4 linked regions of the Drosophila melanogaster genome follow. The protein of the gene in region 1 interacts with the protein of each later gene in a pairwise test. Each region holds a gene or a part of one and is shown in the gene's direction. Other genes may lie near its edges. The genes, in order: boca, sel, cerv and Sdhaf3.

Region 1 (7,698 bases):
TCAATTTATGGTTAATAACTACTGAAAAAAATCAGAGTCTGATCAATACTTACGTATATTGTAGGGACGATATTTCCGGTACGGTATGCCCAACTGCTGGCGGTTCATAGCGTCTCCAAGCTTCATGAGATTGTCGAACTGTGTGTTTGTCAAGCCGACATTAAGCTTTTCCATTTCCAGCGTAAGATCGATTTTAGGTTTTTCAAATGGCGGATCATCGAGCTCCGGGTTCATGTTTAGCTTTAGCTTGGCATTGCAAGAGATAGGACCCAGCACTATAACCGCAAGGAAACGTTTTAGGTGTTTCTCGTACAGAATTATAAAATATTACCATAGTTGTAGTTGGGTTTTGTTTCCTTGCAAGCAATATTCGTCTTGAACTGCTGTGAAAGGTCGCTCTTGTTGTTCGCGTACAGTTGTCCACCACAGTTCAAATAGGCGGAAAGACATGAGAGATTCGCTATTTTGAAGACCTGCGACGCCTGCTGGGCCATGTAGCACTTCTCCCAGTCGCAATCGGTGGTGTAAAGTTCGAGCTCATGCAGGGATATGCCGAAGGAGAAGGGACTACCCGTCGTTGTGGTATCCTCGTATCGCAGATGAACGTTGGTTATCTGCACCTGCAGATTGTTAACGATCTGCGCCGTTAGCTTTTCGGCAAATCCTGCATCTGCTTTGGGCTGATCTGTGAATGAGTATAATATATATATATATATTTCGATTCATTCAAAGAATGGAAAAGAAGATTCGCTTACCCATTTCCAACTCCTTTTTGCGAGCTGCCTCCAGGGCATCAAGCGCCGCCTTCTTGAGGTCCATCTCATATTTGGCCTCCTTTTCGGCGTTGTACTGGACATTGTTGTTGGGTGAAACTAAGACATAAAGATCCTCAATGTTGACAATTACCGGCTGGCTGTACAAATTCTTCCAGGGGATCTTAAGCACTAGTTTGCCTGCAAATTTATTAAATTCACAGTGTATGAGTATCCAATTCAGTTGGAAACTAATGCTTTACATACCCAAGTAACCATAGATAAGCTGTACGGGCAGGTCCAACTCGTCCAGGGCATTCTCCCGTATCTTGAGGTTCTGCAAGACGACATCGCCTGCCAAACAAAGACAGAATTTGCTTTCATTAGTCTTATCAGTCGCAGTAATCAGTCATTTGCAAAAGTGGGAGCGAATGCCTATTAATTAATTACGGGTTAATTACATAGGGAGAGCGCTATAGCTACATTTATATATGACTAAGGCTTTGCAAAGTGTTAAGTACGCAAATGGAAAAAGCAGCGGGCGCACCAATATGTCAATACTGTTTACCAATGTCTGGCATTTTGGGCATGCGGCATTTATAGTTGTTAAGTGTTTGTTATGCTTGGAATGCAAAATGGGCAGCACAATTGGTGAATATACTATACATTGAATTACGCTTGTGTGTCAATAGTTTAACGACCAAGCGACCCCATTAAAGTTATCCAACATTTGAGGCCAGTCGAATCGCACTGATAGGAACATGTTTGGCCTTACTTTACAAACTTCATATCTGGCCAATAATCATAATTCTGCAAGTGGTGTTCAATTATCGACATTAAATACAAGAGTATTAATTATAAGTTACTCTGATAACAGTGTTGTAACAACTGATTAAATTAGATTGCTTCAATAAACAAGAAGAGTTATTCACCTGATTGCATTTTACAATATATGTACATATAACACGCTTGACTTGTAAATTGCAAAATGAAAACAAATATGAATCATTGGGCAAATAATATAATATAAATAATATACCCTGCATAGAAGCAATATATACACACATATTCCATTGACTTAACTAGGTCATTTTTGATTAGTTAAGCTAATCAGTTTTATTCAAAATATTTAGGTATTGTAGAGAAAATATCATTTTATAGCATATATTCATTCATTTCTAACGAAGCATAAGCCCGGTCTTTCTTACTTCAAGCATATTTGAATGAAATACTCTTATATAAGTTTAAAACAAAATGCTAATTAACATGAATTTATGAACGCAAGGCATTATGTCACCAAGTTCAAGATCAGCCGAATTAAAACAGGCTTGTCGCCGAACGTCACTCTTTGAACAAACCCGTTTACTGGGTTTGTCGCAAACTTGTCTTCGTGAAGTGGAATTTACAACCCACTTAACATGAAGTGAAGTGAGTACATTCAGATAAAAGACCGAAGAATTGTTTATGTTTCACACAGAAACCCTATACAAGTAGATTTGTAAATAAAAGATATAAAGGCAGAGACTAAATGAGCTCATGGAGAGCCAAGAGAAACCACAAGAATTGCTCTATCGCACAGCAAGATGCAACAGTTGTCCCACCCCTCGAAGTCTGAATGCTCCTCCGTCTTTTCTCTTTCTCAGAAGAATTCATTGGGTTCGCATGAACTTGCGAATACGGCTCACTTAGAAGCGACGAAATTAGGTCATTAATAGTATTTTGCCAAGGATAAGGTCACCGCCATCATTGTTTTTTCTGGGCACTTGCGTGCAAATAGACCAATAAACAATGGGTACCGCAGTAAGGCGATGTTTTTGCGTGAGGGTGGAGCAGAATGGTGTCATCCTCTCCGGGGAACTGGAACTCACCTCCCCAAATGCCAATCTTCAGCTGGTTCCGGTCCAAGTTCTCGATGTAGTCGCCGAGCACCTTGTTCAGCACATCGGCCACCACCGCCTCGAAGACCATTGTGTCCTAGCAGATGCTCCTATTGATTTTCCTCCAAGTTTGTGGTTGTTATTCCAATTGATGTGGTCGTGGTGAGTGCTTCAAACAATCTGGCGTTCGCTGTGCGGTCTATAGTTGATCTAAAATACATGCATATGTAAACACAGAAACCAAACAGATGGAACGGAGAGACGGATTAAAACACAATGTCGATGATGTCATCGTTGAACGCATTTCAAATATTTTGGCACAATCCGCCAGGCCCATTGTTCCAAAATAAACTAACAAGCCAAACGATTGTCCAGGGTCAGCTGGAGTAGGGCTGGTGCGATTAACTCACTACTCCACTCCAGAGCACGTGTGCAACGCCCGTTCTTATCTCTATTTACTGCACCCAATTACCAGCGGCATTTCCACGCGACAAAAAAGTAGTAACTCCGTGCGATGCGCGTTCTTTAAATGCTCGCCCGAAACTAACAGCTGTTGTGTTTTCCGTTTGCGTTCTCCACCTGGGGACGCTCAATCAGCTGTTCGGTCGCGTTCCCGGGCGAATGGCAAACTGTTAGGTGACGTGTTTGACCGTGCGAATTGCTGAGCTATAGGAAAAATATTTATAAAACACCATGCAAACACGTCTTGTTTTGCTGCTGCTAGCTCTGACCCCGCTCGTCCTGGCCAAGAAGTTCAAGGAGGAGGAGAAACCGGCGTGGGCCAAAAAGGATATACGCGACTACAGCGAGGCGGACCTCGAGCGTCTGCTAGATCAATGGGAGGTAGGTAACAACACTGCGATTGGAAAGCGACACATCGGACCCAACTCTCCAGATTCGCACCTAGCAAGGGAGTAATGCCAACCCTTTAGATTCCCACCTATCTAAGGATTCATCATTTGTAGAGACGGATAACTGATACCCCTTCTTTTAATCTTCTCTTAGGAAGATGAAGAGCCCCTCGAGGATGATGAGCTGCCCGAGCACCTGCGCCCCCAGCCCAAGCTGGACCTGAGCAATCTGGACAGCAAGAGCCCCGAGGACCTGCTCAAGGTGTCCAAAAAGGGGCGCACGCTGATGACCTTCGTTTCGGTGACCGGTAATCCAACCCGGGAGGAGAGCGACACCATCACCAAGCTCTGGCAGACAAGCCTCTGGAACAACCACATCCAGGCGGAGCGCTACATGGTTGACGATAACCGCGCCATCTTCCTCTTCAAGGACGGCACACAAGCCTGGGACGCCAAGGACTTCCTCATCGAGCAGGAACGCTGCAAGGGCGTAACCATCGAGAACAAGGAGTACCCAGGTGTCAATGCGAAAAAGGACGAACTGTAGGCCGGTTCCACGGCATACCAGCACATCAAAACATTCTCACTATTTAAGATCAAAGTTCAATTAAAATAAAACAAATTTATTAAACAAACTTATTAAAGAAGCTACATATGTATTTTGCTTGGCCATTCACAGGGAAACGGCTCCGTTTGCGGGATGGAATAAATATGGATAAAAATATGAATATTTCAATAAACATATTTTGAATATAATATTTGTATCTCTATTAGATTGTTTATATACACTGCGTATGTGTCAAATCAAAAACAAAATAAATGAAAAATTTAAGCAAAACTCTAAATTAATCGCTGACCAACTACACAACTCACGGTGCCATCGGCAAAGTTATCGTATCGCCTTTCAAATGTTTCGAGCTCCAGCTCCCCTCTGTGTGACCTTAAGTCAACAAGACGCCACCCGCGAACCGCGACGTGCTCTACTTGCTCCGCCTGTTGAGTAGCTGTTCCACCAAGAAGATGCCCGTCCAAGCCAAGATCGGTCCCAGCATTCTCAATGCGGATCTCTCCAACCTAGCGGCGGAGTCACAGAAACTACTGGACAATGGAGCGGACTACCTGCATCTGGACGTGATGGACGGCACTTTTGTGCCGAATCTCACCTTTGGTCACCCCATGGTCAAGAGCTTGCGCAACAAGATCAAGGTAAGTCTGCAGTCATCTGAGCCAGATATTCAATTACCTATGCCACAACCCCATATAGACGGCCTTTTTCGAGACGCACATGATGGTCCAGAATCCGGAGCAGTGGATAGAGCCCATGGCCGATGCCGGTGTCAATCTCTACACCTTCCACGTCGAACCGGTGCAGGATGTCGTCAGAGTCAGTCGCCGAGTGCAGGAGTCGGGCATGAAGGTGGGCCTGGCCATTAAGCCGGGCACCGAGGTAGGTTGAGGTTAGGGTTATATCACTTTTGATACTTGATACCTCCTATGTATGTTGTATAGCCACAGCTTGTTGCTTATTTGTTTGAAATTATTTATAGATTTGATATTTCCACTAGATCTTGTCCCAAGCTAGGTCTGAAGTTCCTTACAATTTTGAAAATATCCAACGAGTAACCACCTGTTGCACTTACCTTTTAGGTACAAGATCTGGAGAAGTACTTGAGCATTGCCGACGTTGTGCTGGTGATGACCGTGGAACCCGGTTTTGGCGGACAATCCTTCATGGCCGATATGATGCCGAAGGTCAAGTGGCTGCGCGAAAACTACCCCAACCTGGACATCGAGGTGGACGGAGGTGTGGGACCCAAGACTATACACTGCTGTGCCGAGGCCGGAGCCAACATGATCGTCTCGGGAACCGCCGTGGTGGGCGCCTCCGATCAGTCGCAGGTCATCAAGGAGTTGCGCGATGTGGTGCACAGCTACCTCAAATAGAGATTCATTTACCAGCTAGCTTAAGAAAGAATTTTTTAGATAGGCGAAATGTTTTGACCAAATTGCATTGCAAGTAATGGGGAAAATTCCTCGGGAAATGGTACCATTAAAAGAAACTTACAACCGTATGTGGTTTTATACATTTATTTTTTAACATTTATATAATATATGTTTGTAGGTATATATCATGTTTGGTATGACATGTTGCTTTTAGCATTTAGTTGGTTATACGTGTGTCTGCGTGTACTTTATGTAGTTACATTTAGTTTACTGCACTTTCCCAGTTATTGTCGGACATTGGCCAAATGCCGGCTTTATTGTCATGGTTTTGGTACTCTCTGAGTTTTCAAAAATAAATGTTCAACAATATTGTTCGATTTGCGTCAAAACTTCAAGATCTGAATGTAAAACTTTTCATAAATTCTCAATGCCTCCGATGCGCTTGTCTAGCTCACAGGAAAACAAATTCAGTTTGTCTTTATTGTCAAAGGTTGTTATTGTAAATTCTTCACAAAGTTCCGTCTGTGCATAGATAACAAGTGCTTTTCATCAAATTATCATCTTTAAACATTTACATATAATATTCTGATACGTGAGTACATATACTATGCTTCATCTTTATAATGCGCGACACATGTAAATTCAACTAGTTTGTTTATCAGCTTCTGGTTTTTGGATTTTGCTACATTTTACACATAACTTTTCGCTACAAATTCTTGTGTTCTTTGTTTAATAGGGCCTGTTCTTATGTACTTTGTGTAGTGTGTCCCTCCATGCACATGGAGCATGCGAAACTGAATCGAATCCTTGGGGACGATCCCCGTTAAGCGCAGAATTTCAACTAGGATGTGGGGCTTGTGCGATTCTGAGTTTGAGTGTCAACTGTTTGCGTATTGTACTTAGTAATTATCTATTCTGCAGTTCATGCCACGTGTAAATTATTTCACTCACTCCGATCGCCAATGCTAAGCATTTTACATCTACAATATATATAATATATGGGTTGTATTCGATTTAGACTAAATGTACATAAAGCTAAGCGTTTTGATAGTAGCCTGGAGCATGGGGTGTATAAAAATAGCTCGCCATGATCCGAATGATCGTAAATGCACAAGGAGAGTGAACCCCAGAAAACTGAAAGGGTGAAAGGTGTGGTGGCTTACTGTCCAAAGCAACAGCAAAGGAGTCCTGCCTGAGTTCAAGCACAAACTATATCCATCCGATGTGGTCCTGAAGTCGTCAGTGATTTCACGTCAATGCATTTGAAGCTTAGTAGTAAAACCCCTGAGAGTTTCAGGAAAACTCGGGCTTGTGTTCATGCACTGCACGATATTGAAGTAAGCATAGTTTCTATGATATGGGTATATCTTTATAAGTTTGTATTGTCCTGGATCTGTACTCTGTCATTATAGCTAGTATGCTCGATCTACAACAGCCCACAGATTTGTCTCGAGTATAATCTAAGCTTTCCACTTTCGCTTGATAATATGCATGTATAAATTTAGACACCATCACATCTGCTTAATTGCTAGCACTACAATATATATATAGAATATATGTATCCGTTATATGTATATTTCTTGTATATATTTCAGTTACATATTGGTTTGTGTTCATGTTCCGCCTAAAACATCGTGTGCCTTGTGTAATATGCGCTTCATTTAACCCCCCGTTAAGACTAATAATACTTTTCCACTTGTAAACTGATTGTACAAAACATGCATATATGTATATATATATATATATATATATATATATATATATATATTGGTAGGCATAATATGACCAACTAGATCTAGTAGTGATCGGTTATACATTTGCAATCTCTTGTCTAAAGCATTTCAACAGGTTTTTGCTAGAAACTAGAAACGATAAGTCAAAAACATGTAGCTACCGGAAATCCGACCCACTTCCGGTTCATGTTCCGGTTTCGACTCGAAAACAATATCAAAGCTGTACACATCGCGAAGCTCTGGTGTGTTTGTGTGTGTTCTGTGTGTTGAAACAACCGATTTTGAGTCTTTAGTTACGCGTATTTTACATTCATTACGTGCGATTCCTCTGCAAAATAGTTGTGCCTACGAATGTCAGCACTCAAGCATTGTATCTTCCAGATCGTACGATACCAGACCTGGTTTATGGATGAGTAGAGATCTAAATCGGGACAATACCTCGAGCTTCGACCCAAGCGGCCAGTCTAAGTGGGCGTGACAAACGAGGTGCGGCGTTGGCGTGTAAATAGTTCTAAATATTAAGTTACATTGACATATCCAC
Region 2 (8,391 bases), 2.5 Mb from region 1:
GAGCGAGGAGCACGGATCACAACGAATCTGCAGAGCGCACTTCAATAGTCAACCGATCGCAGCCGAGTTCCACACACGACTGGCCATTTGCCTTGGAGTGGAGTGGCCCAAAACGCAAGAGAGAGGCCCCAGGTGAGAGTGGGCGAAGAATCGGATTCGGAATCGGAATCGGAATCGAGCTGAGAGATCGGCGGAGAGAGCGAGGGACATCGCCGCCGCCAGAGTGTCTGGCGTGTCGCTTCCAATATCTTATCTTTGCCACACTCCGACTTGTGGAGGCTGGACGGACAGCACAGTGGAGCCTCTCTCAGTTAAACCATAGGTCAACGGTACCGAACGAAGATATTGTGACTGTAATTCCAAACGTGTGCTTGAACGACTAATTAACTATCACTACCCCATTATTAGTACACTAAAACTAAACCAGCATTAAAACAGCATTTTATGTATGAATTTATAACTTAGGGATGTTCTACTGTAGCAGCATAAAAACGATCACATTCACACACCAGCAGACAGAGAGCAGCACTTGTGTATGCGTGTGAAATTTATCTTTCCTTGTGCATCTCAAGAGGTTGCCTCACCAACAAAAGCAACAAAAAACCTCTAAAACAAAGCGGCCAACAGTTGCACCAGCTGCTCAGCCAGCGGGGGAGGGGCCAGGGGCAAGGGGCGCAGGGACGTCGGGGTAGGGGCAGGCGGTCAGGGGAAAACGTGAGCCGTCGAGGGCCCCGCTCCTGTGATTTATAGAGCCGCTGGCCAAGGAGTTCGCCTGGAGAGGATTTTAGGTGGATGGAGGAGGCGGAGGCGGAGACGAAGTGGAGTTGCCGGTCTCCGTCTTCGATTCGGTGTGAAACCTGCCAGACAGTCTGACGGCGGCGATAACTGCCCCCTCTTGCCCACTACTTGATATACCCCAACACCCCGAACACCCCCGTTCCTGCCGTCACTTTGTTTTCGGCTGTGCCACACTCCGTTTTGTGGTCTTCTTCGATGATCGAGCATGCACTGGGGAAAATATACCTGTACTTGTAAATAGTACCTTCGTCCAGAAGTAGCAACTCTAGCTAACTCCAAATCTTCTACAATATTGAGGGATCTATAGATTTGGATTTTGGGATGTACATATGCAGTTCTGATGCGTACACCTATCTATAAGCCTTTACATATTACAAAAAAATCCTCATGTATTGATATTAAAGACTCTCTGTGGAAACGCAAAAGATTCGATATTTTCTCCTCGTGTGAAGATGGGCATGCGGGCAACACTCTAGACTGTAGACGGTTGTAAGGGGCGGGGTAGAAACTCAAGTGGAGTGGACTGGCAGACAGTATGACGCCAAAATGCAAGACAAGACAACCTGGTCGATAACAAAGGTAAACAGGCAACGGCCAGCCAAGGAGCAGGGCAACTGAAAAAGCCTCGGTCGTGGGATTCGATCGGGATTGTCGGCTCAGCGCGACTGGGCTGAGAACCAGATGCAGATGCCGATACAGATATAGATACACGTACGCGCAGATACGGATTCAGATACAAGTACACCCGCCCCTGCCGCTGTATGCCCAACTAATCATTGTGTGATTCTTGTTTGTTTATTTGCCCGGCATTATGAAGAGACTTTTCGGTAGAAATTATTTATTGTCGCATGTGTTTATGTATCCGTAACCGAGTATCTCAGTTGCTTGAGCCAACTGTGTAGCTGTGTAGCTGTGAGTATAGCCCTTAAAGTGGCACCCAATCGGTCAGTTAGCTAGAAATTCAGATGATTAAATATGGATTCCCCTACATCAGCTAATTTCAACAGTTTGGGAGTAATAAAATCGAAATTGGATGCTACTAAAGGGCACATATTTACTTAGGCTTTTATCAACGTTGCATATATACAAATATCCTGCATATTTCGCAAACCAAAGATTCTTTCTCAAGTAAGGCCTAAACAATTTGAAATGGTTAATTTCGTAGATGTTGCTTTTTACAATTAACTTGTCATGTGGAATATACTTTACTGCCTAAAATTTAAGGCAGTTAAAATCCCTAGAAATGCAAATAACTTATTGCAGAAACGGGCTCTGTCGGCTGTATTTTGCTCTTATCTATGAAATATTGTCAATATTTTCCAGGCAAAGCACATGAAATAATGATCTAGACAACGGTTTCTCCCATTTGCAGTGAACTTAAAAATTAAAAACCCCCGAGACGTGTCTTCCTGCACAGAAAAAGAGACAATGGGAAGGTAAGTCACCGGGTGGGAGTCCCTGGGCCGAATCGATCAGCCCGTCGCATTGCTATATAAGCTCGGCGAAACCACAATCTGCAACAACAGTATCTCTCCAGTTGTATTCCAAGATGAAGTTCTTCGTTCTCGTGGCTATCGCTTTTGCTCTGCTTGCTTGCGTGGCGCAGGCTCAGCCAGTTTCCGATGTGGATCCAATTCCAGAGGATCATGTCCTGGTGCATGAGGATGCCCACCAGGAGGTGCTGCAGCATAGCCGCCAGAAGCGAGCCACATGCGACCTACTCTCCAAGTGGAACTGGAACCACACCGCCTGCGCCGGCCACTGCATTGCCAAGGGGTTCAAAGGCGGCTACTGCAACGACAAGGCCGTCTGCGTTTGCCGCAATTGATTTCGTTTCGCTCTGTGTACACCAAAAATTTTCGTTTTTTAAGTGTCACACATAAAACAAAACGTTGAAAAATTCTATATATAAATGGATCCTTTTAATCGACAGATATTTAAATATTATAATGATTTGTAATTATTACTAATTACTTTTTATGGAAATAATTGGTAAGAAGGAACTGGGACTGTAAAAATTTCTTAATAGTTAAGCTACTATTTTAATAATAAATATTGATCACAGAAAATTTTCAAAATATTTTATATTTCTTTGGCTTTATAACTTTCAAAGTCATAGAAGAACGACTTAATTATTCCTTGTGTATGTTCCTTAGTCTTAGTCTGTGAAAATAATCTGCGTTTATCATTACCAATTCGTACAACAAAATATCGGTCATTAGCGTTAGCGACTTACCATATAAGTTAACTAAACCTAATCGAGCTAAAAAAAAAATTGAGGTCCCGAGGAGCACGATCTATATATACCAAATATATACGTATATATTTACTTTGTTTAAAAAAGCTCTTAACGGGAGCAGTTATTGGTCTTCATGGCGATTCAAGGCAGATTTTAATAAAGAAATATTAAGCTCAGTAAACTTTACTTAAAAAAGCAATACAAATTTGAAATTCTTTTTAAATTTGTATAATTTCTCCCATCGATTGTTTGCGTTGTACTTTAATATAATTTGGTTACATAAAGCTTTTGCTGTAGTTTCCAAACATACAATGTCATATAACGGCATAATTAGTCAGTTTCTAACTGAGCAACAAACGGAAACAGCTTTCGCATATACTTTATTCCGCATAACTTTGAAAAGAAACAATAATATTTTCTATTCTTACGACAAAAATACTCATTATCATAAACCGGCAGCCTTTCAATTTACTATAAAACACGAATGCAACCTGAACGAGCTGGAACAGTTCTCGATTTCATATCACAACATGAAGATCACGATTATTCTGGCGCTAACTCTAGTTGCGGTTTGCTTAATGCAGGTTCGATCTATTCCGAAGGATTCCGAGAATAGACTTCTGCAAAAGGAGCTTCAAAGGAGTCTTATCCAGGATGCGAAGGAACATGTCCGCCCAAGGCGACAGTCCTGCATTGAGCGGTGCAATTCCCTCTGTTCGAAGAAGGGCTTTAAAGGTGTTTGTGTTAAAGGTTTGTGCCGTTGCACTTGATTTTAATAAGGAGATATATATTTTTCTATATATTTTTAAATAAAATCCACATTAAATCTATGTGTTTTCTATTTAAGATTGCGGTGCTTCTCGAACTCATTCATAGCTGAATAAATTATCATCGATCGCTTATCTCGTAGCCCGCGAATGCCACTTTCCGTTTGGCAGGGTCAAAAAATTGAACCTACGCTAAAAGGTATAGCAACAATTTGCATTGCATTTCCGTTTCTTTTGCGGCATTGCTCTATAAATACGGCAAGTCCGACGACTACAATTCGTTCTTATCAATTAACCGAGCAAACAAACAGACGCCAAGAAAAATGATCATCAGTGCAAGCGAACAAGGGGAATAGGGAAGAGAAACACGCGCCGAGAGAGAAACACGACACTTAATTAACGCCAATTATAATGGTTAATAAGAGTATGTAGAAATCGAGGAACGCGGCCGACTTGTGGGTTTCTTTTAATTTACAAACGCTTTGCCGGTTAATTACGCGAACCCCTCGTCCTCACATCTCGATCCGAAAACAGAGCAACCACTCGCGAGCGATTCTCCATTTGCACTGACTCTTCAGTTATCGGCTCACTATATAGTAGCACATCGGCTAATGTACATAAGTTTTCGATCTAGAGCTAAGAGAATACGAGAATTGAGATGCACATATGTATATAATGCAGCTCTCCCCCAAACTTAAACATTTCAACGTGCATCGTGCTACGATCAAGATTTGAATTAACGCGCGCACTTGACTATCGATATTTTTTTTGTTCAAACGATTTACAAATGTTAAACGACATCATTTTATGTGAATCATCAAATTAAATCTCTTAACGACAAGTACACATATTTCATTTTTAGCTTAAAATAGGTAGAGATGGTCACCTTAAAAATATTTGATAGCCAAAACTGGCGTTAGCTAGAAAAGTTCTATCGATAGCCGGGTATTATCAATAAGGTTTCTTTAAAACGTTTACCACAATTCTTGTGAACGCTGACCCAGACCCACTGACCGCGTCCCTCGTCACCACATCTTGGGCATAAATTAAGTAGAATTCTTCACTTATCGCTGCAGAGCATCAAGAACCACGTCGCTCTTAAGTCGTCGTAAATACAGCACACGTCTTTATCAACGCCGCACTTTTAAACGGAAGGCGCTTCTGCTGACGTGGTTAATGCAATTAGTTTCCACGCGTTAAACTATTAAACAATCAATTAAAAAGATGCTGACGAAGGCGCTTATCCTGTTCGGCCTGCTGGCCTTGGCCCAAGGTTACAGCTTCACCTCCCGCGAGGTCAAGTGTCACGGTAAGGAGAATCCACACATAACAGCGCGCCAGCAACAGGCGGCAGTGCACTTGTTGGCTGGCCCTGGGAGCCCGGATAATTGAGGTTCCATAAATTACAGTGTGCAAGGCCGTGGTTACGGAACTGGAGGAGGCCATTGCCAAGGAGGACCCCCACAAGATGGCCGATGTCAGTGGATTCCGGCTGGACGCACAGGGAAATTCGATCAGCAAGAAAGTTCGCCTAGTGAAATCTGAAATGTTCCTTACCGAACTGATGGAGAAGATCTGTAAGTAATTATTACCATATGGTACGGAATAGCATAGAGGCTTGATAAAGACCAGTCTAATCTTAAAACATTTGACGTTAGTCAAAAGTTTTACCTTCGAGCGTAGCTATTGTTTATCAATGAAGATAGTTATATGTGGTATTCTATTAATGATAACACTTTGCTTATCATTCCTAATATTTTCCCGTTCTAAGGCGAAAAAATGGACGACTACTTGAAGGCAACCTACAAGAGCAACGGGAAATTCACACTCCTCAAGATGATCATCAATGGTCAGATGAACCCAGACTCCTCGTTGGTTGACTTTGTGCAAGATGGTGATCTCAACAAAAGCCTGGGGCACTTCTGCAACGAAGTACTGGAGGACAACGATGAGATCTTCGTTAAAGCCTTCCAGGCCGAAGAGCTCGGAAACGATTTAGACATCAAGATCTGCTCAGAACAAGCGAGCTACTGCGACGAATCGCCGGTCCAGGAGGAGTATGACTTTGATGGCAAAGAGGAACTGTAGTTTGTCCCAGTGAAAGCTTAGTTAATTAACGAATTTCCTTGATCGCCGCCAGTGGAGGTCTTTGTACTGATATTTCGAACGAAAATTATGTTTAGCTAATGTAAAGAAAACCATGCCAAGTGTTACAAATTATGTACGACAATAAATTCCATGTGCAATGTATTTTTATTAATTTATTAACGAGTGTTCTATGTCATTTTGGGATTACTCATCCTTGCTGTAAAGCAAACATTAATAACGATACGATTTTATTGGATTACTCGGATTACTTACGGATCATTGGTTACATTACGAAGCATCTGATGGCGAATAACTAGGAACGGAGCCCCAAAGCCCACGACTCCCGCAATTAGGTAAAATAGTGTGAAACGCATTGGACTATCCAAGCCAAAGGGTAAGTTCTGTGAGGGAAATTGTAAGTTCTTAGAATGGTTAGCTGCGTGTTGACCTTGGATTAACTACCGCCCCAGGAGAGCCGCCTGGATATCCACTCCCATAACGCATCAGCGGCCCGCTAAACTTGCCAATGGGTTTACGAAGTGTGGGCCACATGAGTAAATTTTAATCCGTTTGTTGAGACGGGAATAAGAAATTATTTGATTGCTTGCGAGTGAGAAGTTACTCCCAGATTTCTAGCGAACGAATGAAAGTTACTGGCTTTTCGAAAAATTTCCTGACATATATCTTTATAGGCAAGCCTACTTAAGGGAACCCTTAAAACTTCACCATTACTAGAAATATTCCTTCCAGTTGGCAACTTTGCGTGTACATCGGTTTCTGACGTCGTTCTACCAAGTCCATGTTATTTGCGAGCACAGTTTCCATAGTTTAGCCACAAGATATTGATACTAAAAGCTTTAAAAATAAGCGTGGATGCATTTACAAGTGCCAATACCAAACAAACTGTTGTTCCACATAAGCCGTCTTGCCAGCTTTTAAAGAAAACATCCACCAATCGGTTCTACGGTCACGGGTAACTTTATTTCGTTTCCACTTTTTACTTAAATTTAAGCTGTAACACACTGTAATGGCCTGCCGGCCAACTCAGCAGATAACGCTACATCTGAAAAGTGAATATTTATATTAAAATGCAAACCGAATATAACCAATAAACTAACCTTACATTTGTTGTTGCTGTCGCCAGGGGAGCCCCTTACTTCTTGAGCAGTTGGTGCCTGACGATCAGGAAGGGCGATCCGAAGCCCAAGACACAGCCGATGGTGAACAGGGCGGTGATGCGGTACTTGTTCGTCAGCCCGAAGGGAAGATTCTGCATGAGAATGAGGTGTTTTCCGGTGTTAGAATTGATTTTCCTCCCAATCCTATGCGAGTCGTGCAAATTATGTAACCCGCAATGGGCCCATTTTTAGGGACTCACCTCTCCGGGAACTCCACCATGTCCGCTAAAGCGAACCATCGACTGGGAAAAGTTGCGTGCAATCACACTGCTGCGGCCCAACATCTCGCAATTTGACTTATTTGATAATAATTCCAGGAAAATAAAGTTCGCAGTGGGTGCGCAGAATAGAGATGACAAATGGTCGATAGCTGCCGTGCAGCTCTGCTGATTACGTTACGTTAACGTTAATGCGGTTTCTGTTAACTTTGCCTTTGGCTTCACAAAAAATACATTTTATTTAAAAAAAATAAATTTGTAAAATGTAATATAAGAATTTCCTAGGTATCGCTTGACTAACATTTATACGGCTTAAATACTTCGTAAGTATTTCGTTTTTATTTATTTAATATTTTTATAAGTACTGGTGAAAAACGTAGTCATTCCTTCATTGCTGGTACTTACTAGTTCATTTATTAGGTGCAACGTAGGTACTTCAAATACACCACTTGGGCACCCGGTGCACTACATAACTATTTTCAAACCTCAAACCAAATCCCAATCCATTTAAATGTAAATTTTTAAATTCTTAACTGCTTTTAAAAACTATTAAATTTTATTCGTTTCTCTCGAGTGATGTGTCCTTTTTCTAAATGACTGCCATCCGTAATGTCCCGTACACAGCATGCTAAATATAATTAGTAAAAATTTGTTTCATTTTCCTCTTAAATTTTAGAAATATTTTCCCTTTATATAAAATAAATATATATAACAGTGCCGTGTTTTTATTTTAACGTAAATAAAATTTGAATGTTATCTATTTATATATTTATTTGAAATCATTTAAAATTAATAATAATAAAAAGAATTTTACGTTAATTTGCTTCCAACTACGCCCACGCGAATTGTTGTTAATTTATAATAACGAGCGAGTTTGACACGGTATTAGGGGTATTCGATTTTATCTATTCAGGGGCTTAACAGACACTAAGCGCTCTGTTATCTTGTCAAAAACTATCGGCAACTAGGGCCATCGCTGGCCCCATCAAACACGCCGAGCGCTCATCTCTATTGCGTTTCGAATATTTCATTTATACGCACGGGTACGGTAGACTCGATCCAAACAGACAAACGTTCAAAATTATTGCACAAAATTATAAGTA
Region 3 (7,951 bases), on another chromosome or scaffold:
AAAAGGACCCTAAAAAACAGCAGGATGAGGATGAGGGGCAGGCCAAGATGCTGGAACTGGATCCTTGGGATGACGAAAACACGCCGGAGCATCTGTACGAGATCGAGACTCCGCTCATCGAGGAGTCTGTGGTGGCCAGTCCGCCGTTGCCGTTGCCGCCTACTCATCCCGCCAACCAGCAGAAAAAGCGCACCTACCGTCGCGTTTCGCCCAATGTGAAGCATGAAAAACTGACGGCGAACGTGGACGATGATTTTAAGGCCGGTTCCACGACCAAACGCCGCAACTGCGAACGCTCGCCAAAGATCTGCGATGTTTGCGGTAATACATACAAGTACCAGCACGCGCTAAATGCCCACATGCGGCGTCACAACAACGAGCGCCCATATTCCTGCGAGGTGTGCCAGAAGGCGTTCATCTCAAACGTTGAGCTGCGACGCCACATGCGCGTCCATACCGGCCAGAAGCCCTACAGCTGTCGGCACTGCGAGCGTCGTTTCTCGGACTTTGGCAGCAGCAAGAAGCACGAGAGGATCCACACCGGCGAGCGGCCGTATGTGTGCGAGGTGTGCAACAAGGGATTCGCCTATGCTCACGTTCTGTCCGCCCATCGGCGGACGCACACCGGCAAGAAGCAGTTCCAGTGCACGCAGTGCGACAAGGGTTTCACCAAGAAGACCTATCTGTCGGCTCATATGGAACAGCACCGAGGCTCGGGCAACGGCGAGGCATCGGTCGCATCATCATCCGCTGATGCATCCAGTCGCAACCAGAATGCCTCCGCACGGAAGGAGTCAGCGCGCAAGCAACAGCAAATCCCCGAGTCCTTTTCGCTGGACTCCGTAGAGCTGGAGCAGACAAAGGTTCTCGAGGAGTGCATTGTGGCGAATGACTTCATGTTCAACGAGGAGGACAACGCGGAGCAGGAGGCCAATGACCGCGAAGGGCTGCAGCATGACGATTCCTACCCGTACGTCGGTGGCTACCAGAGCGTTGACTCTGTCAAGGAACTGGTCGGCGATCTGCTGGACACCGAGGAGTTCTGTGACGAATCCAAGTACATGATAGAATAGTATTACTACCGGGACAACTCACCGCACCACTAAGGGGCTGTCTCCACACAAGGATGGCCCCAAACTTCCCCACCCCGTACCATTTAGACAACCAGGCTAAGAAGCGTAGCTCTAAGAAATCGGTGTAAATAAAATGGAGATATTCGGATAGAAAGCTTATGAAATATTGGCTATTTTTTATGGAAAGTGGCTTTAAATAGAACATATATAGTAATGTGAATGGAATATTACTTAATGCGAATATTATTTGGGGAGCAATTGCGAAGAACCTTACAAACCCACAATAAGTAGTTAACAATGTGCATTTATATTCTAGCTACTTTAAAGGGATTTATTGTTTAACAATTCATTAGAAGAAATGAAAAGTTAATACATGTTTATTATATTGGTAAGTTATGCTTTATGCTTATATTACCTTAAACAATCTGAGGCCTTTGAATCTTTAGAAAAAATGATAAGGTAATAAATGTTTATTAGTTTAGTAACTTAAGCTGTTATATTACTTTAAACAAATTGAGGACTTTGATTCTTTAGAAGAAATTATACGATTGTAAATGTTTATTATTTTATGCTATTATATTACATTAAACAACTTGAGGACTTTGATTCTTTAGAAGAAATGATAAGGTAATAAATGCTTATTATTTCACTACCTTATGCTGTTATATTACTTTAAACAAATTGAGGACTTTGATTCTTTAGAAGAAATTATACGATTGTAAATGTTTATTATTTTATGCTATTATATTACATTAAACAACTTGAGGACTTTGATTCTTTAGAAGAAATGATAAGGTAATAAATGCTTATTATTTCACTACCTTATGCTGTTATATTACTTTAAACAAATTGAGGACTTTGAAGACATGTTTAAATAAAAATTGGTATACGTGAACTGCGAATAGCGAAATGCAAGAGCCACACGCATGTATCCGAAACTAAAGTCAGCATTTCGCAAAACAAATCAACTTTATTTGAAGGCTACCATTGAAAAATCTAGACTTCTTTACTCTTCAGCTTATTTTCAAGCACGTACTTAAGTTTAACTTTCAGCAACCGCACCAAACCAAGAAACAATAAAAAACGAAATTGTTTCTAAGCAAACTGTGTAAACAAAAGCACGGAGAGATGCTGTTTAGAGCGAATAAATGCCACGAGATCGAATTTTTGGCCATCCAGAACAACTGTGCAAACCAGGCACAGTGAACAACCAGTAAGAGAGACGTTTGAATTTTATCTAGTTTATTACAGTAATCGGTTTAGTCAAGTTAGTTAGGAAACACGCGAATGTGGCGTGCTTTTTTTGTGACCAGCCAGGTAGGGGTATAATTGTTCTAGGATGGTTCGTTCACGGCAGCCAGTGGACACTGTGCCGACGCGTACCGAACGTGGCCACGTTCTTGAACCGGTTTTGGCGGATCGCTCCGGCGGGGTCAACGTTTCGCCCTTTGGCGGACAACACCGGGACATTAACATAATTCATATTGATATAGTTGGTGTACAAAAAATTTCTAAATATATATATATAAATGTATCAAAATTTAGACGGTATGGGGATGCCGAGGGCGAGGAATTTGGGATCGGTTTTACAACACGCACACAACAGACTTTTAGATGGAACAATGAAACTTGAACATCGCAGAGCAGCGGCTAATCCTCAAAGGTGATGCGGCCGGGTCCGTGGTTCTTCATGTATCGCCTGTACGCCTTGTATCGTGGATTCTCCGCCAGCTTCTTTTTCATCTCCTCTTCCTGTTCTGCCTTCCAGGCGACGAAGTTCTCGCGCTTCCACAGCTTCAGATGCAGGTACTCCTCGATCAGCTTGTCCTCCTGCGCCTCGAACTGATGCTGGCCCATGCCCAGGTGCCGGCGGATGAGGTAGAGCTTCTGCTCGCGGCCATACGGCTGCTTCATTACCGTGTAGCGCCAGAACCACTGAGCGTGCCACACGATGAACGAGAGTATCGTGTAGGGGCAGATGATCAGCTGCACCCACAGCACATCCCAGAGTGTCGGCTTCGCATAGCCGCCCTTAACGTCCATCTTCTCCTCGATCACCCGCCGGATGATCCGTTCCAGCTCATCGCGCTGATCGTTCTTGGACATACGATTCTTGCCCTTCTTCTGGATCTTTTCCTGGATCTCGTCGCGAGCTATTTCCAGGGCCTGGTTCCTATACTTGGGCACCGTGGCAAAGTACTTGATGGCAGAATCGTAGCGCTGCCAGCCGGAATAGTACTGGATGACGGACACAATGGTTAGGACGACCACGATAACCACGCGCACATCCACCTTGGGCGCCACGCGTCGCCGGTAGTAGCGATAGTAATGCGCATAGTATGCATCCGGGTTGTCCAGCATGTAATCGTAGTCCGTGCGCGACTCCTCATCGCGCAGGATCTCGTAGGCGGTGGCCACCAGCTTAAACTGCGTCTCCGCCGCCGCCTTGGCCTCGGCACCCCGATGCAGATCTGGATGATAGCGCCTCGCCAGCTGGCGGTATGCTTTGCCGATCTCCGACTTGGACGACTCTCTGGTGACGCCCAGCACGTCGTAACAGTTTTCCTTGCCACAGTACAGGCCCTCTAGCAGGCCCAGGGCCATCGTGGGCAGCAGGGCCAAGAGCACCAACCGTAGTCCGTGCGTCCGCATCTTGGATAGCGCTTTCACCCTGGGGACACGTGTAGCTGCAGCTGGGGCGCACAGCTGGCACTCGTTGGCTGGGATCGGATCGGAGCGGATTGGTTGTGACTTGGATTGGTCCGCAGCAACTGGTGGCAGTGGCGGTCGCGCTGGCGCTGCTCGTCCGTCTGCTCGGCGTTTGGCACACTGAAAAGTTGGCCGCCGCTCGTTATCCAGGTTGACATTGGCCGATAACACCGATAACCGCGATAGCTCGCGGGTGGATAAGACCGTATGTTGGGGATATGGTCACTCTAAGTTAACTCATTTTACATTTTATTTTAGAGTCGCTAATTTGACGCACATTTATTTTACTTAAATTTCAGGCATAAAATCCATGCTTATACACCACGATTATTAACAGTTCGCCAAATACCGATTACACCCTCGTTAGGCTGCCTATCGAACTTATCGGTCCTAGCTGAACCTAGCTAAGCGTCAGTCTTGAACATTTGGATCCAAATATTCTGGATTTGCAATTTGCAAAGCGTCTGCATAGAATCTGGGCTTTAAAATGGACTTCAATTACCATGTGGATTCGGCACTTACCACTTTATTGGAAAACCAAAAGTTCTTCAAAGAAATGGCAGAAGGTAAGCCATGCGACACACTGAGACATCTTTAAAACCTACCCACAGTCGTGTCCGATTTCAGTGATGGCAGGGAGATCCAGAAGTTGTTGGACCAGAACGTGGATCTCGCCGAGAATCTCATCCGAATGAAGAGCAAGCACCAATTGCTCAGCAAGGCTATGAAGCATGCCAAAAACTCTAGCAACACCATCGAGAAGTTCGAGGAAGTCTGGAAGGAGCGCTCCGAAGCGGTGGAGCAGAAGCGCATCGATGTCAAGAACTCAGCCGAGTTCAAAAACTTCATGAAAGCGGCAGCTCCCCAGGCGGGTGCGGAAACAAATGGTCAAGCGAATAGCGCCGCCCATGACGAGGACCTTATCATGGAAGCCACCGGCGGCGAGGTCTTCTCGCTCTACGATCCCTGGTCCAAAGCCTTGATAAAGAACCCCGTGCGCAACAAAAAGTGCGGCCACATCTACGACCGCGACTCGGTGATGCTGATCATCACGGACAACATTGGTATTCGATGCCCAGTGCTCGGCTGTCCCAACAGGTCCTACATCCATCCAGCGCACCTGGTCAAGGACTCCAACCTACAGCAGAAGTTGCAAGAGCGCATGTCTGACGCGATCGAGAAAGAAACTTCCTCGGAGGAGGACGATGAACAGGCAGATCATTAATTATGCGCAACTTCCTTCTTGTCGACTAATAACGCAGCGTAAGATATCACGTTCTTGTAAGACAACCATTTGATGAAAATTTAAGGTACAACGAATAAACATGTTTTAAAAATAGTCCCGAAAAAATTTAGAGAAAATATATTAGAAGTGCAGTATGCACGTATGTATATAGTTTGCGATTTATTTAGAAAATTGGTACAAATGTAGAAACAAATGAATATATAGCACGATTGCCATCGAAATCATCGCCGAAACATTCTAGCGAGTCTTTGCCGCAGACGATCCACATCAGACTCATATGGCACCAATGGCACCTTGTCATTATCCGGATCGCTACTATCTTCAGAGGAGATCCAGACTGATTTACCATTGCTAAGCTTCGGCTCTGAATCCCCGCAAGCCATGGGGTCCTTCAGCATGGCTGCTTCCTCATTGTTTTTGGTTTTTTGCCGGAAAAAGCTTCCGGCATGGGTGCCTTGGTCAATGGGCCAGCTGTTGGCGACTTGCGCTGGAAATCTCTACAAATAACGAAGAATCTATCGGGAGCGGTGAACGGAATAATGAAATCGGTGAGCTCTATGAAGAATCGTAGGACTTCATTGTTTCGTTTAGAAAACCTATCAACTTGTATGCGTAAAGCATTTTCTTGAAATGGTCATCTTAAAAATGCTGTGCTTTGCAAATAGTTAAGTATTATCCGCTCGGATATGTGAATCAACTGAGGTCCTCACGCCAAATTATAAATGTGACTTGTAGACTGCAAAGTCATCGCCTTCTTTTTTGAGTTCTTGACACAAGCAAAAAGGGTTGCCATGGCGTTGTCATGCCCTTGGAGATAAAACCTCTAGACTCAAATATTCTTATTATGTTCCGCTGACATAATAAGTATTAGTGTTTTTATTTCATAATAAATTATGCAATTTACAGCATCGGAAATTGGTAGCTTCAGTATAATATTATCAAATATATTCAGTTTTATACCCGTTACTCGTGAAAGGGTATAGTAGATTTGTTAAAAAGTATGTAACTGGCAGAAGAAAGCGTTTCCGACCATATAAAGTATATATATTCTTGATCAGGAACAATAGCCGAGTCGATCTGATCATGTCCGTATGAACGCCGAAATCTGAGGAACTATAAAAGCTAGAAGGTTGAGATTAACCATACAGATTCTAGAGACATAGACGCAGCGCATGCCCATATTGCCACGCCCACTCTAATGCCCACAACCCAACAAAATAAAATAAATAAAAAACTTCCCCATGTTCAAAATTCTACCGATCCGCCATCTGCACTAACTGACCGACGCTAACTCACCTACGCTAACTTGACGCACATCACGATTATTAACGGTTCTCAAAAGAACGATTACACCCTCGATAGGCTGCCTGTCGAAATTATCGGTCCTAGCTTAACCGAAGCGTCAGTCTTGACATTTCGATCTAAATATTCTGGATTTGCAATTTGAAAAGCGTCTGAATAAAATTTATGATCAAAATGGACCCGAAATCCCACCAAAAGCTCTTCAGGGAAATGGCAGAAGGTGAGCCATGTGACAAACCGAGACATCTTTAACATCTTTAAAACACACCCACCCACAGTCGTGTCCAATTCCAGCGATGACGGGGAGAAGTTGCTAACCAAAAACTCTAGCAACACCATCGAGAAGTCCGAGGAAGTCTGCAAGGAGCGCCCCGAAGCTGTGGAGCAGATGCGCATCGATGTCAATAACTCACTTGAGGACACGAACTACATGAATGCGGTGGAATCAGAAGCTCAAAAGAATATCGCCGGCCTTGATGAGGACCTTATCATGGAAGACTTCGGCGTCGAGGTCGTCCCGTTCCACGATCCCTGGTCCAAGCTCCTGATAAAGCACCCCGTGCGCAACAAAAGGTGCGGTCATATCTACGACCGCGAAACGGTTTTAATGATCATCAAGGACAACATTGGCATCCTATGCCCGGTGCGCGACTGTCCCAACTTGTCCGACATCAAGTTAGAGCACCTGGTCAAGGACCCCGACGTGGAGCAGGAGTTGCAAAAGCGCAAGTCCGACAAGATCAAGAATGAAACTTCCTCGGATGAGGACTAAGAACAGGCAGGTCATTAATTATATATAAAAAGCGCCTTTAAACTTTAGATTTTAATATGACTTCAAGTCTTGTTGAGAATTAACTTTATAAATAAAAAACACTCCTTTGGAATTTTTTGATACTTTTTTATACCCGTTGTAAAGTTAAAGGCTATACTAGAATTGTTGAAGTGTATGTAACAGGAAGATGGAAACGTTTCCGACCATATGAAGTATATATATTCTTGATTAGGATCAATAGCCGAGTCGATCTTTTCATGTCCGTATGAGCGCCAAAATTTCAGGAATTATAAAAGCTAGAAGGTTGAGATTCACCATACAGATTCTAAAATTAAAATTAAATTAAATTTATTAAATTTCGCTTTCGCATTCACACTAGCCGAGTAACGGGGAATTTGACTATATCATTCTCTCTTGTTGTATATTGCAATCAACTTTTCAATAGTGAGTTAAGCGATATGTCTGTTATTCAGTAGTGACTTAAGCGATATCACTGTTGTGCATATTTGTCCATCTCTAACACTAATGTTTTGGTAAACAAGAAGAACCAAATTAGACATGAGCTACATACAATTTGAAAGCGGCAGAGAAAAGGATAAGGCGCGCCAGGAGCTCCGGGAGGCCCGGGAGGCGATGCTGCAGCAGGCCAAGGAGCGGGCGGAACTGCGTGGGCAGCGGGAGAGGCAGAAGGAGCTGCGCGGCGAAGCCGACTGGATGCTGCCCGCGTTGGCCAAGAAACTGGAGAAGCCCGCCAAAAAGTCAAAGAAGAATGTTTCCAAGCACAAGTCCAGGTCCAAGTCCAAGTCATCGAAGAAGAGCAGGAAGCACCGCAACAGCAGCAGTAGCAGC
Region 4 (7,550 bases), on another chromosome or scaffold:
GCGCCCTGGCTGGCCTCCAACTGGACGCACTGCAACTGCAGCAGCAGAAACTCGACGGCGGCAAGCCCATGCCCCGCATCCTCGAGCTGGCCGAGTTTGGGCAGTTGGCCCGACCTGCACACGCCTCCGCGTCCAGTTTCATGGGAGGATTGGAGTTTGTGACGGTGGTTCTGCTTGCGCTGATCAGCCTGGGTGCACTGATAGCCGCCTGCTGCTACGTATGCATGCGCCAAAAACGGTATGAATGACGAGTGCACGAGTGTCATGCAAGTGCAACTGCAACTGCAACCGAAAGACTGCTTACTGGGCGCTCAAATGTAGCTCATAGATGCATTTCATGTTAGCCATAGTTTTAGCCTAAGCTAAAGGCCCGATAATAAATCTTAAGTCAATTGCAAACGTTGTTGTTGCTGCCGCTGCTGCTGTTGGTGTGTTTGTTGCTGCTGCTGCTGCTGCTGCTGCTGCTACTGCTAATGGCCATGATCGTGGCCAAGTTGCTTGATGCCACTGAGTCTGCATAAACCGGCTGGCATTGGGCCTTTCCTGTCCGATTAAATTATAACGGTAAAAAGCAACAAACACAACATCAAATGCAACAATGCAGCAATAGCAACTTGAGGCAATTAGATGAAGATCGTGTGACATCGCTGCAACTACATCCCAAATGGGAAAGCCAATCAAATGGGATGTCATCTCATCAGCTCAGCTCATCCTGCACAGAGAAAAATAAATAATATGTTCGAAGTTATGTTGTTATATTGAAAGGAAACTACGATCAGGTTTAACTATAAATTTACATATTGAAAATGAAAACAAGTAACTATACTAGAGCTTAATGATGATTTAAACGATTGATATGAGCCGTCTAAAACTACTACAAATTCTTCCCGTGTCTCTTGCAGACGTCTCTGGTCTCAGCGTGATTTCTCCGCCTCCGATGCCGGTCTCACCTATACCATCGCTGGCATCGGATCTCCTCGTGGCCAGAAGCAGCGCCGTCAGCGGCAGCAGCGGCACACACAGCGCTGTAGCAAGGGCAGCACGGGCAGCCAACGACCCACCAGTGCCTTCATGCCCGAGTCCGTCTGCTCCTCGGCCCAAACGCAGTCTACGGCCACCGCCACCGAGAAACTGGAGCAGCAGCTGCACCATCACCACCAGCAGCAGGCGATGGCCACACAGCAGCAGCATCATCAGTACCTGAACGAGTGAGTGAATGGCCGTGGTCAAGACCGCGTCTAGTCAAACGTGTTTCCATTCTGGACACTAATTGCCATCATCCCCGAAACAGGCAACAGCGACAGCAAAAGCGCGAGTACATAGACGTTCCTCTTCCCAAGTCCATTGCCAAGGCTGCGGCGGTGACGAGTGGGGGCGATGGAGCTGTGGGCGTCGGGAGCACTCCGTTCGTACTGAAGTACAATGCCTGTCAGCCCGTTAACAATCTGTAAGTCTATAGATTATATTTAATATGGTTTCAAATTTGGCACAATTGTTATGAACTAGACTTAACATACTAAACTGCAACCTATCATCACAACAGTAACAATTACGAAACCTCGCTGTTCTCACTTCACTCGACGGGCCAGGACTCTGGTGTGGAGTTCCTGAGCAGCCGCGAGCTGTACGAGACCTCGCCGGATTCCTTTCAGCACGGAGGCTCTAAGCGCGGCAACAACACGGAAGTTTTATGCCCCAGACATGCGAAGGCCCACTTGGAGCTGCGCCAGCCAAATACGGACAGCAGGTGGGTAGAAGAGTGTGCTTTATTTCGGATTGCCTTCTTAACATTTGAAATCTCATTGCAACAGTGACACCTATGAGGACTCTCTGAAGACGGACGAGCCACTGGTGGCGCATAACTGTCGCAGTGCCAATTGTGAGCACCGCCAGCACCAGCAGCACCCCAGTCACCATCCCCACTACCAGAACACGCGGTTCGAGAAGCGCTCCTGCGTGCGCCACTCCTTCTCCGGGGTCAAGGACGACCTCATGCAGCAGTCACCGCAGATTTCACTGCGTCCCCGGGGCCACGCCCTCCGCAACTCGATGAATGACCTGGAGCAGCGGCTGCACAACCTGGAGCAGTCCTTTCGCCGCCCGCTCGAATTTAGCAAATCTAATTCATTGTTTTAGTTCATTTTTTAGCTAGACAAAACGCAGTGCAATTTTTAGTGTAGTCAACCTAGAATAGACTTTAGATATTAAGAAACAAGTGCAATAAATTTGAGAGATGTTACAATTAATATAGCCCCCAACTCTGAAAAAGAAAGTGATATATTTGAAATCCGGGAAAATCAATTGAGCAGTAGAAAAACTCAAAAGAAAATTTGATTAATTTCCAGTTTAAGTATAAACCCATTGAAGATATGGAAATACAATATATAATAGTATAGAAATTCATTCTGATCATATAGTAGCTTATGGATTTCAAAGTGAAAATCATATTGAACTTATCTGTTATTATAAATATTATTTCCATTCAAATATTGGATGAACTACTCTTCGATAGACGACACAATCTTAAGTTCTTCCTTCTGTTAACCACATAAATAAAATTAATTTAAAGTTTCGTGTCACGATTACGGCTTATCGATATCTGGCGCCAGTGTCACTAGTATTTGTACCATCACTAACCTTGGTCATAAAAATAAAAGCTAGCGTTCCATTTATTTTCCATCGCCCGAGCGCTGTTCCCTATCCATTAACACGTCTCAATCCTGGAGTGCACAACATCCGGTGAGAGGACTACCAAAAAGAGATAGTCCGCCGCTGGTTGTAGGTGAATAAACAGTGAAGAAGCGAAGAGTCCAAAGGATACAATCGCAACCCACTTGCCAAGCTGCACACTTTGAGTCCAACGTTGGAGGAGGAGCCGCCATGAATGCCCTGCGGCAGTTCTACCTGGAGATCCCGGTGGTCACACGAGCCTACACCACGGTCTGCGTGCTGACCACCTTGGCGGTGGTAAGTGTATCCCGTAGTGCGTTCTAAATCGCGGATGACGTGTACGTGTATTATCTTCGATTATATTTTTTGCCAACTTTTAAGCACCTGGACCTGGTGTCGCCGCTGCAGCTCTACTTCAATCCCACGCTGATTGTGCGCAAGTTCCAGATCTGGCGCTTGGCCACCACATTCCTGTACTTTGGCACAATAGGCATCAGTTTCTTTTTCAATATGGTGTTTACATATCGATATTGTCGAATGTTGGAGGACGGATCTTTCCGCGGACGCAGCTCCGACTTTGTCATGATGTTCATCTTTGGCGGCGTGCTAATGACCTTCTTCGGAATCTTCGTCAACCTGTTGTTCCTGGGCCAGGCCTTCACATTAATGCTGGTCTATGTGTGGTCACGACGCAATCCACTGGTGCCAATGAATTTCTTCGGGGTGCTTAACTTCCAGGCGCCGTACCTTCCGTGGGTGCTCCTCTGCTGCTCCATGATTCTGGGAAACACCGTGTGGGTGGATGTCATCGGCATGGGTGTTGGCCACATCTACTACGTGCTGGAGGACGTCTATCCTACACTGTCCAACGGCTACAGACTGATCAAAACCCCCTACTTTTTGTGAGTTTACTTTGAATTGGGATATAACTTTTGCAATAACGACTTGTTGTCCTTAGGAAACGTCTCTTCAATGAGCACATCGAACGCAACTTCCAGGCGGCTGCTGAGGATCGACCTGGCGGATTTCCTTGGGGCGGAGAGGGTCAGCCCCTGCTACCGGAAGAGATTGCGGCTGATGGACAGGATGAGGAGCCAGCGAATCGAGCGGCGCCTGTTGCTGCCGCGCCGCAATAGCAAAACTAGAAAACTTGATTGTTAAAACGTTCTTCTGTTCAAAACGACGACGATGACAACAATGTTGTGTACCCTCCGCCACCTTCTGTTTGGTGCTTGGTGTAATTAGGCGTATAGTAGTGAGAGAAAGGCGTGCAATAGTTAGCCAAAGTTGGTGCAGAGCGTGTGTGTATGTCATTTATTGGTTTGTTTTCTGAAACAGAGCTCATTTTCCATACGAGATGTTCTTTTATTTATAATTTACCCCCAAGGGATGAATCCACGACAGATTGAACCTACACTGCACATGTGATGATTATATATATACAAACCATGCCACAAATAAATCATTATATAAAAAGACCTGCAGTTTTAAAATGCTTGAAATCGCTTGGGGATTGATAAAAAAAAACCATTTGAAAAAAACATTTTCTTTTTACATTATTTGGTTTGCGGAAGTGTGGTTCAATTCGAAGTGCCTAACTTAAATATAATATGAAAATAGCATTGAACTTTTAAAGGTGACAATTCAAATGCGCGCCAAACTTTTAATACGTTGCCACCTGCCAACTCAATTTGACGTTAGCCAACACTGGCTGCGACAAAACAGTTGTTATTCGCTCGTATTTAGTTTTTAGCCGGCTGCTAAATAGTATAGTATTAGTATGTTATATGATATGAACTCAGGATGTCCAGAATTTTGATGAGCCAACTGACCCACCCTCAGAGGGTCCGACTGCTGTACAAAACGATCTTGCGACTGCACAGAGGTAAGATGAAAAATTCCCTATTACTATAAATTGCATGCATTTCAACTAAACTTCTGTACTCCGTAGGACTTCCAGCGGAACTTCGTGCTCTGGGCGATAACTATGTGCGGGACGAGTTCCGGCGACACCTCAAGTGCAATCCCATGGAGGCACAGCTCTTTATGACAGAGTGGGCCGTAAGTTTTACGTAATAAACAAAAAGGCGCCATACTAAGCAAATCTTCCATTGCAGCGATATGCGTCCACAATCACCCAACAACTAGGGATTCGGGGCAAGCCCAAGGGAGAGCTGGGCGAAGAGATTGACCCCAAGACTGTAGAAATGTTGAAAGACGACCAAGTAGTCCAACTATACGAGCTGATGCTGGCGGCCAAGGGAGTAGAAGATGCGCAAGGCAAATAAATCAGTGTATTATTTTATTATGAGTGTTTCTCCAAAATCTTGTACTCGAATTTAATGCCATTCTCCTCCTGCACACCCAGTGGCATGTCGGAATCGGGCGCGACCTCTCGAAAGCTGTCAGGGATCGCGGGGAAAAAGGTGTCGCAATCGAACTTCTGCATTATTTTGGTAATGTACAGCCGGTGACACCTTGGCGAGGCCATGGCCTCCTCGTAGACTCCACTACCGCCCACAATCCAAATGTTCTCCACTTCGTTCTGCTCCTCAAGGATCTTCATGGCCGTCTCGAGATTGGGGCACAATAGTACTCCCTTGGGCAGATCACTTTCCTGAAGTGTGGTGCTCAGCACTATGTTCAGCCGATCGGGAAGAGGCCTCTTGCTTTCCGGCACTCCGAAGTAGGTTTTCCTGCCCATTACCACGGCATTTTGCTTGGTGGGATCACTTGTTCGCTTGGTGGTGCGGCTGAAGTACTTCAGCTCAGATCTGATGGTACAAAAGCTTTAGCTGCGGTTCAATCCTTGTTACCAACTTACTTAATGCGCCATGGTAGATCGCCTCTGATGCCGATTCCGAAATTCTCGCAAACTGCCACGATTAAATTGAATCGAAGCATCCTTAATCCTTACTGAGAAAGCATAAGCTTGAAAATTATCTTCCAAGCTATAAAATTCAAACAGCTGATCAAGGCAATGCTGGAACCGATTTCGATAGCTTCGATTACTTACCTATTATCGAAACACGCTTATGAAGATCTTAGTCAGATTTCAGGTTGGTTTCGCGCCACTCCCACGAAAACAATATTTCTAGATACAATGTGTCTTGAATTTATTTTTATAGTGATCCACATATACTTTACAGGGGATTAAAAGTTCGTTAACTATTACCAAAAAGTTATTAGATACATTAGATATAAGAGGTTTTCGAGCCTGATTATTTCCAAAGGGTTACAAGATTTTCTGTCTCAAAATATGTTTTTTATATTTCAATACCATAGTGGTGATATTCCTGGATTTTCCAAGACAAACAAGTCTCCAGTTCTACTCTGGTCCCTCCAAAAGCCAGTAGGTCTCCATCTCGCCCTTGCCCTTGACCTTGACAAATCCCCGCGCTTCAACCTTATAGCCCACCTTTTGCACCTTCAGCGCAGTATAGTTGGACAGCTGGATCATCCAGGGATCGCTGCTGCTCTCCATTCGCGAGGCGGTGTTAACGGTGTCTCCAAAGAGACAGTATCGAGGAACCTTCATCCCAACCACGCCGGCGACGACGGGTCCCGAGTTAATGCCCACCCGTATAGCCACCCCGGGAAGAGCATGGGCTTTGACCTTCTTCATCACCCTTAAGGCCAAATCGCAGGCGTGTTCGGCATGCAGGGGATTCACATCAGGAGCACCCGAAACAGCCATGTAAACCATGCCCACGGTCTCCACTTTGTAAACAAACGGGGAAATGATCTCTTCGTCCAATGCCGAAAACACTTTGTTTAAGGTGGTCACCGCCTGCATGGCATCCTGGATGTTGTTGGACCCACTGTCATAGATATTCATTACCTCGATGAAAATGACGGATACCTCCTCGAAACTCTGACACACGTGCTCCTCGCTCTTTCTCATTCGCTCGGCAATGGGTCGCGGTATCATGGAATACAGTAGCTCATCTCCCTGCCGCTTCCAGGAATCTGCCAGTTCCAGCGACTTTTCCAGCTCATCCGATCGCTGCTCCTCCTTCTCAAACATTATCTCCAGCTTGGAGCAGTGCTGCCATCCCGCCATCACAAGCTCTCTACTCAGTCCATGCGGATTAAGATCGTTCAAATAGAGACCGATTCCATGCAGCTCATCGAGATTTTCGATTAGAGGACTGCACAGGAAGATCAGCGAGTCCACATCTTTGATATAGAACATTTGTCCCTTCAACAGGATAGATCGGAGGCCCACCGAATGGCGTCTCTGTCCCGTGGCGGGATCGATTTCGTCCTTGGAGGTGGCTGCCGCTGCTGCCTCTTCCTTGGCGTTCTCCGCACTAAACTCCTTGGCACTGGCCAAAGCCATGGCCTGCGCCTCGTTCAGGCTGCTGGCTTCATCAAAGTTTTCAAAGTCAAAGTTCAAGGCCGCATCATAGGCGGCACGATTGTGACCCGTACGGATGAGCTCAAACTCGAAGAGAACTGTACGCATTTGCAGAATGGTCTCCCATTGGATCTGAGTGTCCTTGGGACGACGGCACTTGAACCGCTCCAATATGTGACTGCCAATAAAGGTCTTTGGGTTCACTCCAGGATTATGCAGAATCCACGTCTCGACAATCTTCTCGCCCGCAAGTGTGATTTTCATGTCGTGATCCAGCACAATGGTGAAGGGAAACAGCTCGAGGAACACATTCAGGTCCACCGACGGCATCTTCAGCTGCGAAGGATGCGCGATGACATTGACCCGCTTGGCCATATAATCGCGATTATCGAAGTCCAGCCGATACTTGACAATCACGGTCAGAGGACCCTCCGTAAGCTTGATGGGACCGGCTGTGCCACCGCATATGTCATTTTGGCTCTCCAGGACATAGGCAGTCATGTCTAGGCCGTAGAACTCC

Evidence for each region.
Region 2: the proteins of boca (region 1) and sel interact in a two-hybrid assay, tested with the Drosophila melanogaster proteins (one large-scale study listed by BioGRID).
Region 3: the proteins of boca (region 1) and cerv interact in a two-hybrid assay, tested with the Drosophila melanogaster proteins (one large-scale study listed by BioGRID).
Region 4: the proteins of boca (region 1) and Sdhaf3 interact in a two-hybrid assay, tested with the Drosophila melanogaster proteins (one large-scale study listed by BioGRID).

Annotation. Positions count from the first base shown.
Region 1 is NT_033778.4:7,562,287-7,569,984, reverse strand, and holds boca (boca), read left to right. Parts: upstream 1-3,246; 5' UTR 3,247-3,322; coding exon 3,323-3,472; intron 3,473-3,634; coding exon 3,635-4,027; 3' UTR 4,028-4,112; downstream 4,113-7,698. Other genes in the region: Vps13 (vacuolar protein sorting 13), read right to left, coding at 54-275, 332-685, 756-953, 1,020-1,106, 2,621-2,720; Rpe (Ribulose-5-phosphate-3-epimerase), read left to right, coding at 4,501-4,686, 4,745-4,927, 5,128-5,424. UniProt on the Drosophila melanogaster protein: Chaperone specifically assisting the folding of beta-propeller/EGF modules within the family of low-density lipoprotein receptors (LDLRs). Acts as a modulator of the Wg pathway, since some LDLRs are coreceptors for the canonical Wnt pathway.
Region 2 is NT_033778.4:10,048,524-10,056,914, reverse strand, and holds sel (seele), read left to right. Parts: upstream 1-4,747; 5' UTR 4,748-5,028; coding exon 5,029-5,113; intron 5,114-5,213; coding exon 5,214-5,381; intron 5,382-5,575; coding exon 5,576-5,892; 3' UTR 5,893-6,053; downstream 6,054-8,391. Other genes in the region: Def (defensin), read left to right, coding at 2,348-2,626; COX7CL (cytochrome c oxidase subunit 7C-like), read right to left, coding at 6,097-6,109, 6,166-6,293, 6,355-6,444; COX7C (cytochrome c oxidase subunit 7C), read right to left, coding at 7,046-7,162, 7,271-7,354. UniProt on the Drosophila melanogaster protein: Involved in embryonic dorsal-ventral patterning which is generated by a series of serine protease processing events where gd processes snk which cleaves ea which then processes spz into the activating ligand for the Toll receptor.
Region 3 is NC_004354.4:15,574,208-15,582,158, reverse strand, and holds cerv (cervantes), read left to right. Parts: upstream 1-3,987; 5' UTR 3,988-4,269; coding exon 4,270-4,348; intron 4,349-4,393; coding exon 4,394-5,007; 3' UTR 5,008-5,173; downstream 5,174-7,951. Other genes in the region: CG9215 (uncharacterized protein), read left to right, coding at 1-1,073; CG7872 (uncharacterized protein), read right to left, coding at 2,724-3,725; CG42299 (uncharacterized protein), read left to right, coding at 6,496-6,550, 6,609-7,102; CG9213 (uncharacterized protein), read left to right, coding at 7,661-7,951.
Region 4 is NT_033777.3:16,479,285-16,486,834, reverse strand, and holds Sdhaf3 (succinate dehydrogenase assembly factor 3), read left to right. Parts: upstream 1-4,382; 5' UTR 4,383-4,473; coding exon 4,474-4,555; intron 4,556-4,621; coding exon 4,622-4,731; intron 4,732-4,787; coding exon 4,788-4,958; 3' UTR 4,959-4,974; downstream 4,975-7,550. Other genes in the region: Cad89D (cadherin 89D), read left to right, coding at 2-238, 903-1,208, 1,292-1,447, 1,544-1,747, 1,812-2,136; Der-2 (Derlin-2), read left to right, coding at 2,881-2,967, 3,052-3,572, 3,629-3,806; Dhfr (dihydrofolate reductase), read right to left, coding at 4,976-5,444, 5,495-5,574; Gyc89Db (guanylyl cyclase at 89Db), read right to left, coding at 5,999-7,550. UniProt on the Drosophila melanogaster protein: Plays an essential role in the assembly of succinate dehydrogenase (SDH), an enzyme complex (also referred to as respiratory complex II) that is a component of both the tricarboxylic acid (TCA) cycle and the mitochondrial electron transport chain, and which couples the oxidation of succinate to fumarate with the reduction of ubiquinone (coenzyme Q) to ubiquinol.